Linked DNA regions of Bombyx mori. The protein of the gene in region 3 purifies or fractionates together with the protein of the main gene of each other region. This does not show direct contact. Links are inferred from orthologs where the notes say so. Each region holds a gene or a part of one and is shown on either strand. Other genes may lie near its edges.

Region 1 (6,196 bases), on a different chromosome or scaffold from region 3:
GACACTCCAGTCCTTTGGTATAAACAATCTCTTATCTAATTAGTTTCTAGTTACAATATTACAAAAATTGTACATATTGAATTACAAAAACGAATATTGATGCATAGTTATGAAATTTCCAAATATTTTTTGACAGTTTATTTTATGCATCTCCTATTTACCACCTATAAACAGATTGTATTGTACACCATTAAGCCTATAAAAGTACAAATTTTCTAATAATTATTCTTACCTTGATACAGACAGGCAATAGATCCAACAAATGACATTTTAAAAGAAAGGGACCGATACCAATAGTTGTACAGGGTTATACCAACAACTTCATAAACATTTTCTGAACCAGTGGACGGTCCAAGTAAAGCCAGAGCATTTTTGCAGAATAAAACAACTTGTATTGCTACTGCTCCTGAAATTTAAAATTCATGATTTCAAATAACTAGGTATAAGACAGGCTGCTATAAATTTGAAAGTGTACACGCACACCAACAAAAACAAACCTTACTTTCAATTCACAGATAGTAACCTGAAGCAGTGATTCGAGTAAAAAAAAAATCATTGTTTTTAATCAAAACATGGTGATGATTCATCAACATAATAATATGTTATCTACAACAATACTTTTACTATACATGTATAAGATATGTTTTGTAGTGTATACTTAACAAGTGGACTTCAACTTTAATGTATTCTTATTTTGAGTTCACAAATATTCCTTAAACAACTGGTCTTCTATAAAACTACATTAATTACCAATAACACGGGGCTTTCTTGTATCTTGTATACTCTTCTCTAGAATACATTGCTGGGCTTGACCTAAGCAAATTTCCTGGAGAAGTCTCATTATTTCTGAGGAAATATCAACACCTGGAGGTTGAGTAAATTGCTCTCTCAAGAGTTGAAATGAGTATGCAGCATGCTGGAAGTGAGTGCAAGTGGCTTTCAGGCTTTCAGCTGTGGTACGTGGCTCCATTGCACCAAGTTCGGTATTTAGGGCACCAATATTGTAAAGAATACATCCTAATTCAAACCTAGCAGATGCTGAGGTACAATTCATGCTTGCGTAGAGATCCTTCCTGTTAAGAAATAAATAGATTAACAAGAAAATTATTTTTACTAAAGGTAGGAATAGTGTAAAGTGTAAAGAATCAAGAATATTGAACAATGCTTATAGATAATAATCTTCTTTAGGTGAATCAATGATTCATACATTTTTAACTAATCAAATCAACTTAAGCTAATTAGATTACCTACCAAGTGAAATTGCAAGCCGCCGGCTGGCCTTTGCTCATTGGGAATCGGCTTTGCATGGCACGAAGTTGGCAAAAATATCTAATTAAAGATTTCAAGCCTGCCGTATCCATTGTAGGCCTCACGGCGGCCGATCGTAGCCCTTCGAGCGAATGAATCTCATTACTGTAGCTTTCTGGATCTTCTTTATAAACTTCGGCAATGTACTAGAAAATTCCAAAGAAAAAAGTGGACAAAGAAACAACAAACAAATCTTAGCCGTAGACAGATTATAGACCTATTTACCTGTTTAAGTTTTGTTCCAAATTTTGTATTCTCTGTTGATACTTTTAATTCGAAACTGATAAGGGGTATCTTCGGTACCGCTTCCATAATTAATGGAAGCTAACTTCGATTAGAAACGTAGTTAAGGAAATTTCACTTGAACGACAATTTCATCACAAACAATTTTATCAAACTATCAGTTGCGGAGATTATTTACTTTCTTTTTTAAATTATAATGGCTTTGGCTTCAGTACCATTTGGCAAAATTTATGGAGGAATAATAGTGCCCAAAAAATCAACAAACCTTTGTTTCGTAATATTAAAATACTTTACAAAGAAAAATAATTTGTTATAGTCATTTTAAATATTTATAACTAAAAAAAGTATAAATAAGCGAGATTTAAAACACAAATTGCAAAATAAAAAGTCGCTTCGTCCTTAATTTCCAGAAATGTTGGCTGTATAATGTAAAATCACTTTGCCGATAATATCGAAATCGAACAAAACATCTAAGTACTCTGTGAAAGCACAGATCAATGTGAAAGCGTCAGACATAGATAATACACATAATCATAGATTATACACTTAATATCACAATATAAATGAGCCTCTAATAAATGTAGGTGCATCAGATGCTAGTGAATTTTTACTATAATATGATTTGAACAAACTTACATTATGAAGCTAAAGAAAGCTAAGTCAGATACCGAGGTAAGTGAAATAATTACCGATGTTTCCTTCAAATGCCAATATCCATAACCATCTAAAGTACTTTTTAGGAAGTCATTCCACCTCAAGCCGAAATCATTGAAGCCGATCTCTACAAGAGATCGTATTTCGGTCCAGACATACCAACATTAGAGCTAGAATGCTGGGAAGAAGAACTATCAGAAGTCCAACTACAAGCATACAAAAATGCCGACGATGAGTACAAAAGTATCCAAAACAAACTGGACGATATAGTTAAGAGCACTGGCGGCCAGATTGTTTACAACGGCGATCAATTCACCGCGTATCAGTTGCTTGGAAAGTAAGTAAATACTAGATTTTTATGAATCATTTATTTCTATCTTCCTCCAGAAATAAGGTGTCTGAATCCAAACCCAATTTTTTTAATTTATTGTTTATTACACTTCATAAACATGAATGTAGATGGTATTGTCCATCAGTCAAGCAACGGTGAGAACATAGTTGGTGGATTAATTGATAAATTATTAATATACATAATTATAATTATTAAAATATAAATTGATAAATTTTGATTCCAAATTAAATGCATAATGAAAGTATTTCAAAACCTTTATTATATTCTGATCTCACAATATAGATTAAATTAAACCAATTCCATCTAATCTACATGAAATTTATTGAATTGAACTGACTTCTGTGAGATATTAATTATAAAATGAATGAAGTCGTTGATCTTGTGTCACAAGATTGAAGCAGTTGGCTTATAAAATTCAAATTCACAAGTATATATTATTATTTTGTATCTGTAATATTTAGTAAACAAACATACTATTCCACAAAGGTCTAAAGGTAATAATATATTTCATAAATATTTCTTTTGTGTTTAGACAACCAGCATTGAAAGACTTGGAGCGTCAAAGTGCGGACATAATAAGATCTAGATCACGTTCTATGTCTATCTCAAAGGACAGACCAACAACACGAAGAGGTAATTTTGATATTCCATTTTGATTTCTACGTAAAACTTAATAGAAGGCTCATTTGGTATAAAACAGCTATGGTTGTGCATGTCTTTGAAACTACCACCAATCACTTAAATGCAATTCTGCAAAAAAAATCCTGTAAATGGAATTCTGAATTGGAAAACTTATTGAAAAACCACCTTACATTTCAAATTAGTATATAGGAATTGCCGTTGCTTCTTGGATAAATGCAGGGATACAAACATTTTGTACCAATCCAGGTGTGCTCAATATCTATGCTAATGTTATTCAGAGTAATTATACAAATTTTGTGGAGTTCCATTTTATTAAATTGTGCTGATGTTCAATCATCTTGGTAATATTTGTGAACTAACAGTACATACATTACTTAACTTTTTTTTATTGCTTAGATGGGTGGACGACCTCGCAGCCCACATGATGTTAAGTGGTTACTGGAGCCCATAGACATCCACGACGTAAATGCGCCACCCACCTTGAGATATAAGTTCTAAGGTCTCAAGTATAGTTACAACGGCTGCCCCACCCTTCAAACCGAAACGCATTACTGCTTTACGGCAGAAATAGGCAGGGCGGTGGTACCTACCCGCGCGGACTCACAAGAGGTCCTACCACCAGTAATTACGCAAATTATAATTTTGCGGGTTTCATTTTTATTACACGAGTTATTCCTTCACTGTGGAAGTCAATCGTGAACATTTGTTGAGTACTTATTTCATTAGAAAAATTGGTACTCGCCTGGGATTCGAATACCGGTGCATCGCTCAACACGAATGCACCGGACGTCTTATCCTTGAGGCCACGATGACTATACATTAGAAAAGTTTGTACTCGCCTGGGATTCGAACACCGGCGCATCGCTCAACACGAATGCACTGAAAAACCAAAACAGTAAAATGATTACTTAGAGTATTAACTGTCACTTCAAGAATTATAAAATCGTCTGGCACTTCAAATCTTAAAGAAATAAAATTATCTTTACTTTGTAATTATCAAGAAATTCTTTAATTTTAATGTATTTAAATAGAAATGGTTAAAATGGTAAAAAAAATATGGTTAAAGTTGTCATCGAGCACGGCAAATGTACCCTACATTTCATAGACCCTATTGTACCCACCATTACATTACTACATGACTAAATTGACATAAATTCAAGGGCGGCTCATACTTCTTGCCTTAAAGCAGCCAACACAGCTAAACTGCTGCTGAATATACTATTCCTAAATACCGAAACTTTAAAGTTAAAGTTTAAATGTAGTTAGCTTAACGTTAGTTTAAAGTTGAAGTAACTTAAAGTTAGTTTCATTTGCCATTACCTTACATATTGAAGAACTTCATCTTCAAGAATTATAAACTGTGAATGTTTGTAAACTTTTCATTCTAGGACGTCAGAAGAGGACTCGTGGTGAAGAAAAATACCATTCTCCTTCACCAGAAAAAACCAAATCTCCTGAACCGAAACACAAGAAAAAAAAGAAAGATAAAGAGAAGAACAAAGAAAAGGACAAGGAAAAAGAGAAAGAAAACACAAAGACTAAAGACAAGACACTTGCACCTTCTAGTAAGTTTCAAGAGAATTAATTGATTTGAAGGACGTATTTTAGGACGCTTTCCGGGTCATCGTTCTCGTCGAACCCGTTCTTTGCAACGAAGGGCTCGGCGAGTAAATTAACCCACAGACACAGCCCACTGATTTTCTCACTGGATTTTCTCAGTGGGTCGAGTTTCCGATCCGGTGGTAGATTCTGCGAAGCACGGCTCTTGCTAGTGTTCATGTTAGCAACATCGTCAGGTTTGAGCTCACCTATTAACTCGGCGACGCTGACATGGTCTCTGTAGACCATCAACTTAGGTATGAAAAAAAAGGACGATTTTTAAGGAAATCATCCTACGTATTTTTTAAGTTATACTTCTTTAGGCGCGTTATGAAAAATTGATGAGAGTGAAATTTTACGATGCGCGCGCACCGTGACACAAAATTAACAGAAATGAAGTTGCCCACTAAATCGCTCATTACAATACGACCGACGTAGCTTGGCGAGTCTGAATATAGCCGCAGGTGAACTTTCGCGCATGTACACTCGTAAAAAAAAGTGTTATTAGCATTCATTTTTTTAAATCAAAATACGAATTAAAATTTCCATATACAGGGACCAAGTACAAATAAAATGAATATCAAAACACTATGAGGCAGAAAGCTATAAAAATAACGTAATAATTTAAAGAGAGATAATAAAAGAATGATAAATTAAGACAGAAAGCTGTAAAAATAACGTAATTAAATTAATTCGAATGTAAGCCCGAACACTGCCTTCAGTTGCGATCCGCTGTACTGTGCGTTGCGATACACCAGTTGCGTTAGCAACTCTAAATGAAACTGTCAACATCTTTTACGATTTCTTCTTCTTCTTTTTAAAAAAAAAATCAAAAATTATGTTTGTCGGCCGACGATTTAAAACACTATTATGCTTTGGTGGCATCTTTGTTAACGAATAGTATAAAATAGTATAAATGCCAAGGGACACTTAATACTAAAACAAATTTAAACACAAACAATCTTAAAACTAAACAAAAAACTGAGCACTAAACAAAAACAGTATAATAATAACAAATCAATGAAAACTTTTGTAGCCGCCCGTACTCAAGACAGAGATCCAATATGCGTGTTTGAGGATGTTGTTTAATCGATTTTTTTTCAAATTGATTAAAATTTAAATAAAAAAATATATCTATATTCCATTTTGTAGGAGATTTAAAATATTCACAAACAGTCCCTATTGTAGTAGTTGTTTATAAATCACTGATATTCAACTAAATCATGTCTTTCAACCAAGAAAATAAAGTGTTATTAGTTTTTTATTAAAGATGAAGTCTCGTTTACTAATGACAACATTCAAGAAGTTTGTAAATCTATTTCGTTCAGTATCTCATAAAAACAAAAATCAATAAATTCTAAATCGATAAAAACCGATTGCGATATTTGATTGAATAAA
Region 2 (6,316 bases), on a different chromosome or scaffold from region 3:
TCATAAATAATAAAGTGTTCTACAAAGTCGTAGTACATTATTTTATTCTATCCTCAATAGTTTTCGCAGGGCACGCGATGTAAAGAATATTTTAGGTATTTTTTTTACATTATTGGAGTTTTAGTAAGGATCCCTAATTTTTTTCAAAAAAGATTATCGGGAGTAGTGTAGCTTCCAAACAGTGAAAGAATTTTTCAAATCGTTTTAATTTTCGGAGCCTATTCAATACAAACAAACAAATATTTCCTCTTTATAATATTAGAATAGAAGTATAGATTTTATATCAAACATCGGTAACTTACCTGGTATACTTTCGAGATTGGAGAGGGCGCGGTCGTGTGAGCGCATCAACTCTTGCAACATAGCGGGGTTGCGAGCCAACTCCATAGTTTGACGTAATAATTCAGGATTGTTTAACATATGACTGATTTCTGGATTTCTCTGAAAAAATCAAGCAGCTATACGTTTATCTTGATTGCAACTGCAACTTGTATTTATTTTGAAATGTGATTACTAGCTGACATAACCAATGGTTTCTTCTTTTCAATAAGTTTCAATATTAGGCTTTCGTTCTATTATGCATACCAGTGATTCTCAATGGGATTTTATAGTATGAATTTTGTTAGAATAAATGAACTGAATTAAGAAAAAAATTGAGGGTCAAGCTTAACAAGCTCTCAAAAGAATAATATGTTTTTTTTCCATTTGTTGGCTCTTCATCTATATGCTCGCTAGATTTTGTATACTTCCAATTTTGTTCTCTGATTCTGTACTCTACGAAGGGTTCTTTCAAGGCACTTTGCCAATTACTGATCTATACAGCCAAAGATTTATTGTATTGTATGTCTTCAAAGTTAGCACGTTGCCTGTCCAGAGTATTTTGGTTAAGTACCCATGACCCCGTTTTTTTTTCGGCTTAACTATTTCATTTTATGTACTTATGAAGTACATGTAAGTGCTTTTCAAAAAACACTTTCAAAAACAACTAAAATACTGAATTTCATGCATGCATTAGTTTTAATGCACAGACGTGTCAGCTAGAATACCGTGCATTACTTATAATGCACGAATGTAGTAACAAGAACATCGTGGATTACATATAATGCACGGACGTCACAGCTGGACCAAAAATGCATTATATATAATGCACGGACAGGCAACGTGTTAATTTATGAAGTTAGTAAATTTTTATTATTATATACTAGTCATTAGTAGTATTTATTACTTTATAATAGTACAATTTTAGTAAAAAAATGACTCACAGACATGAGATCTTGCATTTGTGGGTTGGAGGTGATGAGGCTACGCATATTCTCAGGATCATTCATCATCTGCTGCACCAATGGATTGTCTAAGACTTGTCTGAGCATATCAGGGTTGGACAGAAGTTCCTGTTGCATTCTAGCCTGTGAATAATATAAGCCTTAGTAGGGTCCAAATTTGTTAATTATACAGTAGGCGTAAGTTTGACTGTTCCTCTATCATTGCTGGTTTATGAGGGACGGCTTAAACTTGCTATTAATAGGGCCGTATGTTCTATTGCATATAAAGCCAGTCTGAATTAAAAAAAAAACACAAAAAAAGCAAAACAATCATGCATTTTGGTTATCTTCTCAGTGGGTTGTGTTTTTGATCTGGTGGTAGATTCTGTGAAGCACTGTTCTTGCTAGGGCCAGTGTTAGCAACACCTCCGGTTTGAGTCCTGAGAACTCACCTATACGCTAGAGTAACACTGATATAGCCTTTCAAGGGTATCAGCATAGGTAGGAAAAAAAAGGAAATATCCTAATTAAATTGTTACTTGGAATTCTATCTGAAGCTGTCATATGGGTTGCGGTAACTGTGCTAGATGGGTTGAGAACCCCAATAAATAGACTAAACGAAAGGCTTGTTAATAATAAAAAATTACAGTTTTACAGTTTATAAATGTAGCTGAAAACTTTTCAATATCATATAAAGCAGTCCTGTGATATAAATACCTGGAGATCCATAAAAGTACTCTGACCAAGGCCCAAGCTTTCAAGACCCGCCAGCCCACCCAGCGAGTTTAAACCAAATGGTGTAGCACTGACGTCAGCTAGGAAAATGATATTACAAATGTAGTGGAAATAAATTTCATATTTTTATAATTTTCAATAATCTAACACAAGTGTTATTAAGTAAACAATTGGATTTCTTTCTAGTAAAATAAATCCAAATAAGAAGAATTTTTATTTGAAACAAACATCCAAGTATTTAAATGATTATTATCATCATCATATTAACTATTAGTATTTGGCCAGTCTGAGCGAGAGGATCTGATGTTATAACAGATTGTCTAGTTTATGAGTAGAATAGATGTGTGTGAAATTACTGTTTTACTAATGCTACTGTGGCTTCTAACTGAATGTGTCACAATGATGAATGTGGACATGTTCACCATAAGATGTCTATAGATTCTGGTTACCTTTAACAGCAGGTGTGCCAATTGCTCACAAGTCATAAATGTTAGATATAGCCATAAACACAAGTATCCCATTAACACCTGACATATCTTTTACAAAAAATTATCTTTATTAGACTAAAACAGGTCAAAACAACATATACCAAAGTTTCTGATTTACTGTAAAGAAAAAGTTTATGCTTAATTATTGTTTTACCTTGATTAACACAATAAAAGCTTTACTTTACAAGTAAGAAATTAATATTTAGTGCAGCAAAATGTAATATATTTATATTTTCCAAAAGCTTTGTGGCCCAAAATAAAGTTTTCAATTTGCCACTGAAGCTAATATGCTGTACGAGAAATTTAATTTTCCTATGACATAAATATTAAGCCATTAAGCAGGCCAAATGCAGGCAGCATTGGAGGAAGCTGGTGCAAAAACTGGACCAAGGTGGTCACAACCCTCAGTCATGAGGAAACGACAGAGAAGAAGAGAGAAATATAATATACACAAGTTCCCAGTCAAATATCTATTATTTATTTTTATTGCACAGATAGATGGAGGAGCACCTAGTTTTAAGTGCTTAACAAAGCCCATTGATATCACAATGTGAATGAAACCACTAGACACACGAGGCAAAAGACCAAATTGTCTTAGATAATGACTGTCCTATCCTGCAAACTAATGTGTGCATGCCATGCTGCATTAATAGGCAAATTGGTGGATTCCACCTGAGCAGGTTAACAGTATGCCATCTATTTTTCCAAAAAGTTTCTATTTTTTTTCACTTTAAGAGTGGATATAATATATGATACATGTAGCGATAGCTTATATGGCAGAAGAAATTAGACGACATATCAAGCCAGCAAGATTTTCAAGATAAGTTTTCAATAACATTTTGGTTGTGAGTCTAACAAAAATTTTCACTGGCTCATTGAAATCTTCACATTGGAATCTCTAAAATTTACATACATTTTATAGTGTCCATAATTAGTGAATATGATTCTTGTATGTTCCTCCATTTGTTTCTCAAAACAATTAAATATCATCAATGTTTACTTGCAAATAGCTAAACTAACTGTATTTCATTATCCAGGTTAATTCGTATGACATATTTTATTGAAATGGACTTGGAACTCGTTAGTCAACACAACTAATGAAAATCCAATCCTAGTTAGTTAATTTACCTGGGGGTCTACGAGCCGCACCCTCCGGTTCTGGTCTTGGAGGAGCTTTAATCACTAGATGCACTGTCAACCCATCTTTGATGTTGTGTTGCTTCAGGGTATCGGCATCATTCATGATTTTCCCGGCGAAAATAAGACATAATTGTTCTGGTTCTGTACTGAATTTTGAAGACAACACTTCTTTGAGCTAAAACGAATGAAAATACTGCGTTTTTATGTGCCGGAATGAAGAAATATATGTCGTCACTGATTGCGTGTCCCATATCAATGTTATTACGCCATGAATGAAGGATTTCACGGCCCCCTACTCACTCTTTTGATATCGGCATCTTCCTCAATTTCAACTTGCTGCTTCTCTTTCGGGGTTTTAACTGTGATCGTAATTTTTTTAGGGTCGTCTTGTCCCTCTGCCATTTTGGCAATTCTAGAATGACTATGTACTTTGGCGGAAAAGTAAAATTTATACGAGAAAGACAAATTGACGAATAGCGTTGACTTGTATATTGTCTATGGGTCAGTATGACGGCTAACTAGTAGTGCTGCCAGACAACTAAGACCATAAATTTCACAAAAATAGTTGGCATGGTTCTATTTGGAAATTGCTGATTGACCTCTATTTTGATTTGTGAATCTTAAGACCAAGCATGAGAATAAAAACATTTTTGAGTGCACATGCAAGTGTGTGCGTTGAATTAAATAGATCCTAAAAATTATATGCAGATTACCAAAAAAGAACGTACGGTATTTATGTGAGTTAAGTAGGATAGCTCTATCTATAGACAATACACTTAATATTTGCTCTAATAAATGCGCTTTTAGTGCCAACATAATCTTATTTATTTATTTTAGTATTACTCATGGCCCGGAGGCCTTTCCAGCTTCACCAGGACTGGTGGGCGAACAAAGGCTCATCAAGAAGGGATGGGATATGCAAATAGCTGCCCGAGCACCTCCGAAGGAGACCTAACAAATCAAGAGCAGCTGCTTTGCGAATGAATCTGCTGCCGGATTGGAATCGCAACCCACTGAGAAGATCCGGCAAGAAACTCAGCGTACTGATGTTTAGGTTAGGGTACACGTCGAACTTTATGCCGAGTTTGACGAGTACGGTTACCGGGGTCCCTAAGCCTGGTCCTATTGTTAGAGCTAAAGGCGTCTCATGCAAGGATTATTGGATCTGATGGATCCGTAAAGACGTGTTTAGGACATCGACGGTGACTGGCTCCTGCGTGATCAGGATTCAGAGAGTAGTCAGCGGCGACAACGATAAGGCGATTATCATAACGCATAGACTTATCGAAATACCGTTTCGACACTGACTTCATGTGTTTCCGGATGGATTCGAGACCCAGGTCATCGTATAGGTCAAGGTTCCTTATGACCCACTCCGACTGTTAACCTGCAAGAGCGGGTTTGTAGGGATTGTCTATGTGTATATCATAGAGGTGTCTATGTGTTTGCGGGCCGCTTGAGCGAACACCACACTAGCATAAGTCATGACGTGAACATAAAACTGTCCCTCGATAACCATTTTATTTTTGCGTAATTAGCGTAATTACTGGTGGTAGTACCTCTTGTGAGTCCGTACGGGTAGGTACTACAGCCCTGCCAATTTCTGGCGTGAAGCAGTAATGCGTTTCGGTTTGAAGGGTGGGGAAGCCGTTGTAATTATACTGAGACCTTAGAACTTATATCTCAAGGTGGGCGGCGGCATTAACGTTGTCGATGTCTATGGACTCCAGAAACCACTTAACACCAGGTGAGCTGTGAGCTCGTCCACTCATGTAATAAATAAAAAAATTAGTAAAAAATTTCACAAAAAACAGATTAAGAATGGATGGACTTTAAAAATGCGATAACTTTCGAACGAAAATATTTTGATAAGATCTCGGGTGGATAGCCTTATGAACATATAATATGGATATAGTATGTATAAATTATGTTAGTGATTTAGTGTAGTTAACAAAAAATAGAATTTTATATTTTTGTTATCACGCTAGGTACTATATTATTTTAAGTATTTTCATATCGTGATCAATGTAGAGAAAGTATTTAATTTTTTGTTCGTCCAAGTATGTTGTACGGGGTTACCAATTTACAAATAAGTTTCTATTTCTTCTTTAATGTAAATAAATTACAGACTGAAGAATCGAATACACATTATCAAAAAATGTCTAATTGTTAAATAACAATTAGACATTTTTATCTAACAATTAGACATTTTTTAATTTTTTATTAGAAGAAGAAGAAGAAGAAATAGAAAATCTGCGTTAGCTCACCGCCGGTTGGCAGAGTTCCCAGAAGGCTGGCAGCATTTCCACGCTGGATAGCAATGCTAATTCTTTGTGCAAAATACGTACCGGCCTTCTGGTCTCCCGAGGCCTCAAAAAGTTTTTTTTAAGGTCCTTAAAAAAGCTTTTAGCAGATGGGCCCCAGGGGCCCAAAGTTTCCACCCCAAACGGAACAAAAATGAAATCTTTAGAGAGATTTTTTTTTTAAGTTAAGCGGCAAAAAATATCAAATTGACATATTTTATTTATTAACAACAAATTTTAGACTAGGGTGACTATTTATACTTTCCACTCTGCTAGACATGTCCTTACAGATCCATTCGGTCTACTTTCAATACTGTCGGACGCTATAGATATGAGCAGCTAAAGTATAAGTAACCATACTTTTCGAACTCGCCGAAGAGTTCTATGT
Region 3 (5,682 bases):
TGGGTGGACGAGCTCACAGCCCACCTGGTGTTAAGTGGTTACTGGAGCCCATAGACATCTATGACGTAAATGCGCCACCCACCTTGAGATATAAGTTCTAAGATCTCAAGTATAGTTACAACGGCTGCCCCACCCTTCAAACCTTCAAAAAAAAAGCACAAATCTGTCGAAGATCTGTAATCGAGATATCTAAGAATGCACCAGGCGGACCTTGAGGCACATGTTGGCGTCAGGTTTCTCTGCGGGTTCCCTGGGCGGGTCGGGCTGCGGGGGCGGCGGGTCGGCGCGGCGCCTCTTGCCGGAGCGCTGCGGGCGCGCGGCGGGGGGCGCGGCGGGCGCGGGCACTCGCTTGCGGGCCGCGCCCCCCGCCGCGCGCAGCGCCGCCACCGCGCGCTGCTGCTCCATCACCATCAGGTGGTGGTGGTGCATGCCGTCACCCTCTAGACCTGTAACCACAATTATTATCGCTAGTAAAATTATTCCTTACGATTCACACTTCGACCTTATCTTTTTTTTTTCTATGATTGAAAGATTACTGGTGGCCCGGAAGTTTAACCAGCCTTTCCAGTTTAGGACAGGTGGGCGAGCAAAGGTCAAGCTCAACCACGAAGCAAAGGCTCAGCCAGGAGCAAAGGCTCAGCCAGGAGCAAAGGCTCAGCCAGGAGCAAAGGCTCAGCCAGGAAGCAAAGGCTTAGACCTGGCGTAGGGGATACCGTGATCAAGTAGGTGGTTCCCCCAGGGTGAGGCTCCTCCATTGCGACCTTATCTCTTAACGCGGCTAGTGATATGTCTATGTTTATTGTACTTCGTAATTCTTATATTAGAATTATTAATTATAGTTAATGTGGTATACTGATAACCTTATTCAGACTTCAATAAACTAAGATTCTAGAATAACTACTATGAAAGACACCCAATGGATCTCTTTTTTTTACTTTCATTTACTTTTTTCTTTCCTTCCTTGCCCTTATTTTTCTCAAGTGATGGTCCACTGTGATGAGTGGTAGGTTGGAACAATTTAATCCAAATGATTATTAGTAGTGATTAGTGTAGGCGTTTAATATAATAATATGTACACAGTTCGTTCATGTTATTACAGATTAGTTTATGATATATAGTGCCTTTATTTTCTATTCTACACACTTTTATTACATGATTTACAGCATACATCGAATGAATCAGCTTTAGACATGCTTTCACTTCATAAGCTGTTTTAAACTGCTATGCAATACATGACACCACTCACATTAATAAAAATGTAAACAGGCCATATGCAAGTGTACACTCAAACACATGCTTGAAAATGCCACAGATATTTATTAAACTCGGACGATAACAATTCTCAAATGAGCAAGTATCGTTTTGTCTCTTTCCTACAAAGTCATTTAATAAATTACTTGGCGCAAACGAGGGTGACGCATTCGCGTTCTTTGTTTAATATACAACTGCCATTATCCCATACTTGTGAAGTGTTTAATTTCATAGTGTAGCACTCACCAGGCATTCCGGGATGTGAGCTCGGAGTGATCGTGTTAGCTGTCATTGCAGATTCTAAGTCTACCGGTTGATCTTCGTATTCCGTGGCCATTTTTAAAGCCATCTGCAGCATGTCCTCTCCGAAAGCGTTATTACCGTCCATGCCTGCTACGGGGCTGAATCCTTCTTCCGCTGATCAAAATAATTTATTTCTTTTTAAAAACCTTTTTTTTATTACTTTGACCAAAACATTGTAATTGAAATCAGCTTCAAATTCAAAAAGCATATCATCAACTGTCTATTGACATTTTTGTGTTATTTCTAGTAAAGTAATATAAAGTAGCATTGTTGATAAAAATTGTAGTAAAATTATAAAAGTGAGACCAAAATAATGAACAAAATAAATACTAGAAAATTAAATGGTAATCATGTTTTTTAATAGTTCATTAATGTCTCAAAACATAAATGATAATATACCTCTAAGCATTTCAAATTCATCCCTATGCATTTAAAATTAAACTATTTTTTTGCGTACCATTATCGTCATCAGTATCTGAATCACTTTGATCTTTCTTCTTATCCCCGGCTACCATTTCAGCCATCATCAACAACTCCGCTTCAAATGGATCTGTGGGCATCTTGTCGTGTATCTTGTTTATTTCCTTCATTATTCCTTTAGCGGAATTCCTCGTCGTCGGAATGAAGACCGGAGTGGGTACCGGAATGGGAATGGGTACGGGGACAGGGAAGGGCAGAGACCACATGACGCACGGCACCGGCACATATATCGGAACCGGGACAGGGATCAAAACTTTTCGTTCCAAGCTCGAATCTGTCTGGCACTCTTTCGTACAGGGATGGGGTCGACATGAGACACCTTTGGAAACCATCATCGGCTTCGACATGGTCCCTTTGTTGGCCACCTCTCGAGGAGGTAGCGTTTTGACGATGACGTGGTTGTAGACCTTGGGCGGGGGCGGGGGCGGCGGTGTGGGTGGCGCAGGAGGCGGCGGCGGGGTGGGGGGCGCGGCGGGGGGCGCGGCTGCGGGCGGGGGCTGGGCGAGCCGCTTGGACTTGCCGCGGGTGATGGCCACAGAGGGACTCGGACTGGCCAGAGATTGCACGTTTGAGATTACTGGTAAACCTTCACTGGCTGTTCGTTGTGCTGTAATAAGTTTTGTTGGGTTTTTTATTTCGCTTATAATGTAAAAATTCTGATATCTTGTGATTGCAGTGTTTTGTTAATAAATCTCTTATTATCTTACTATTATTTTTTCCAGAAGCATTGTAATTTCGCCTCGGTGCGCCTGTCGGGACCGCTTTCTGTTGATCAATTGACTCGCCGGGGAGTAGTGGAGGTGTGTGCTTTGAGTACTGACCCTACATGACAACCGAGAGTTAATGACGTAATCGGAAACAAGCAGCATCCTTGTTTTAACATATACTTTTAAATCTTACCTGAAATGACATGACGCATTGATACGTGCAAAAGTTTCGAACTGTCGCATCAGACATTGTCAAATGGTATTGAGCTAATGACGTTCTTTTACACAGGTCACATTTGGTCCTGAAAATTAAATTAAAGGATTGAGTTTCTTTTGTTTATCAGAATCAATAGGCAGAAGTGTATAGAGCCCGCATTGTTATAAATATTGCTAACCTTTAGAGATAAATTGTATTGTCTTAAGTCGAAACACAGGATTGCTGTAGTGAGTAGGCAGGTGATGTGGTTACCTTCACTAATAACGCAATTTTACAATCATCCTACTTTCATAGATATTCATAACAAGATCTCCGACGTTCGTGGACACGAGTAAGGTACATATTTGGTTTTAGAAATTAGTGCCCACAGAAGAATTTGAAGCTGATATCAATACAAATATATGAGTATTAACTGCAACACTACCAATCCTACCACCAGATACACTTCTATTCGCCGACAGGTGCTTTTACGTAGACTTCGATGAATTTCTTAGCACCTTTTTATCAAGCCCATGAAGAATTACAGGAGTAAAGGATAATAAGTAATTCTCATTAACAGTTAATTTTCTCATGGTATCTTTTAAAAATCTGGATACAGTAAGAGCTCACCTTCTCGATGATACAGCATTTATGGAAACTTGGTAGAGATTCAAACAATTAAGAGAACACATCAACACTGCTTGTCCGCTTGCCGGTATCCGCTTTATCATATCAAAGTTGTATTTTTTCACTTTACACCAACTGCAGGGAACTATGTGTCGAGTGTTACTTATATACACGTTTAGACAGGACTTTGAACAAAAACATATCGCCTCTGTGTCGTCATATATCGAAAAACATTTTGTCAATTTTCTTTCAAAGTACTTTTTACACCATCGACACTGATCTGTAAATAGGAATATTTTTAAATAGAAAACCACATTGGTAGCAACATTGAAAACTTTGATTATTTAATATATTTATAAGAGGATTATACACACACCTGGAAATATATTATTTACAAATTTAAATGCAGCAAAACATGGATCTGAACATAATCTCTGTGTTACTTCTTCGGAAACTTCAACCTCAATCGTTGTGGCCTTCTCTAAAGAACACACCGCGCACTTCGCCCACACCGCCTGCGGTATTGGATTCTTACTCATCTGATCAAACTTTCCCATGCAGTTTTGAGAACAGAAGTCTTTGAATTGGCCTTTATCACCAACAGGAGCCAAAAAACCTTGGTGACCAGAGGAGATATCTCTTTGACAATAACAACATATCTTCAATCCTTTCTTAAACTCTTCTAAACATGCCGAATTACAAAACTGTCGGATGTCATAACCAAATCTGACACAATATTTTCCCAAGCTTGTATGCAGCACTGGATTCTTACAGTTTGCACATCTAGATCCAATTTTATTCTGATATCGTCCTAAACACACTTCACCACAAAAGTCCATTGTCTCCCAAACCAACATTTTCTCATTTACATCAAGTAACATATAACAATAGGTACATTTACGTAAAAATGTTCTATCCCTTTCTTCCCTAGCGGCTTGAACCATGGCAGGTGTTTTTGCTTGAATTTTATATGCTTCATCTAAGTACTTGTCTGTGGCATTGCTGATAACCTTCAATTTTAACAGAGGTGGGTTTGCTTTTTTTCTTGTTGGTTGCTTTCTAACAGGCCTAAGCATTTTAAGAATATACCTGCCTTGTTCTTCTGAATTCAGAGTGTGAATACAATTTGCTTCGCAAATTAAAAGTTTTTCCCCATACTTAGTTATCGTGAATTTACAGTTTTTCATCTGATTACAAACACAGCATTGACCTTCAACTGGTTCAACCTCTTGTGCGACTATTTTTCTTCGTTTATATGTATACTTTTCTCTCTCATCGGCCATCATACTGTATAAACAACTTAGAGAACAATAATTCGTGTCTTCGCCGTCGTAATTGTAATAGAAATAACAAACTTTCATTTCCTCACACTCTGAACATGATAAATAGTTAGGAACGATTTCTTCAATTAAATATTTTTTTTGGGTTATCTTATATTGTCCTGGATTTTGAGTTTCATATCTTGATTCACACATTTCACTGCACAGCAACATAGTATCTCCTTTTTTTGTAAATCGGAAGTAGCATGGCTTTACTGTAGTGCATTGAACACATTTCCCTTCAGTGGGAGCACTCTCCTGAATAATATTAGTAACTGTGGATTCCTCTGTATCTATACTTTCATCATGTTCATTGTCTTTATCTATAAAAAGTAATATACTGTTAATAAACACTTGTTTTTTTTTGTTTTATTGATTGGATGGGTGGACGAGCTCACATCCCACCTGGTTTAGAGGTTCTTAATTCAATCAATTGATCACTGAACCAATGTTCACTAAATCATTAATTCATTTTGCAATATATGTTTTTACTACTTTTTTTTTTCCTACCTAAGCTATGATGCTAACACGAACCTTAGCAAGAGTCGTGCTTCGCAGAATCTACCACCGGATCGGAAACGCGACCCACTGAGAAGATCCGGCGAGAAACTCAGTGGGCTGTGTCTGAGAGTTAACTTACTCGTCGAGCCCTTCGTCGCAAGCGACGGGTTCGACGAGAACGGTGACCGGAATTTTTACTATAATATATACAATTTTCTATAGTAAAAATTGCTTAAAGCAGCCAAATTAAAAAAAGTTGAAAAGAAATACTTTTCTTTCAATCTATACTATAATATTA

Evidence for each region.
Region 1: the proteins of zinc finger MYM-type protein 3 (region 3) and uncharacterized protein LOC101738225 purify together in Drosophila melanogaster (affinity purification with western blotting; 3 studies listed by BioGRID, with this or other methods). This does not show direct contact. The link is inferred for Bombyx mori from reciprocal best matches to the Drosophila melanogaster genes woc and row.
Region 2: the proteins of zinc finger MYM-type protein 3 (region 3) and ubiquilin-1 purify together in Drosophila melanogaster (affinity purification with western blotting; 3 studies listed by BioGRID, with this or other methods). This does not show direct contact. The link is inferred for Bombyx mori from reciprocal best matches to the Drosophila melanogaster genes woc and Ubqn.

What each region holds. Positions count from the first base shown.
Region 1 is NC_085110.1:16,015,614-16,021,809, forward strand, and holds the start of uncharacterized protein LOC101738225, read left to right. Parts: upstream 1-2,037; 5' UTR 2,038-2,190; coding exon 2,191-2,223; intron 2,224-2,291; coding exon 2,292-2,542; intron 2,543-3,089; coding exon 3,090-3,190; intron 3,191-4,587; coding exon 4,588-4,764; intron 4,765-6,196. Other genes in the region: tyrosine-protein phosphatase non-receptor type 23, read right to left, coding at 233-406, 751-1,073, 1,252-1,454, 1,534-1,620.
Region 2 is NC_085127.1:9,239,903-9,246,218, reverse strand, and holds the start of ubiquilin-1, read right to left. Parts: upstream 4,160-6,316; 5' UTR 4,028-4,159; coding exon 3,926-4,027; intron 3,801-3,925; coding exon 3,614-3,800; intron 2,078-3,613; coding exon 1,980-2,077; intron 1,407-1,979; coding exon 1,263-1,406; intron 442-1,262; coding exon 303-441; intron 1-302.
Region 3 is NC_085113.1:4,589,168-4,594,849, forward strand, and holds part of zinc finger MYM-type protein 3, read right to left. Parts: intron 5,207-5,682; coding exon 3,941-5,206; intron 3,845-3,940; coding exon 3,568-3,844; intron 3,044-3,567; coding exon 2,935-3,043; intron 2,857-2,934; coding exon 2,742-2,856; intron 2,642-2,741; coding exon 2,012-2,641; intron 1,669-2,011; coding exon 1,498-1,668; intron 447-1,497; coding exon 211-446; intron 1-210.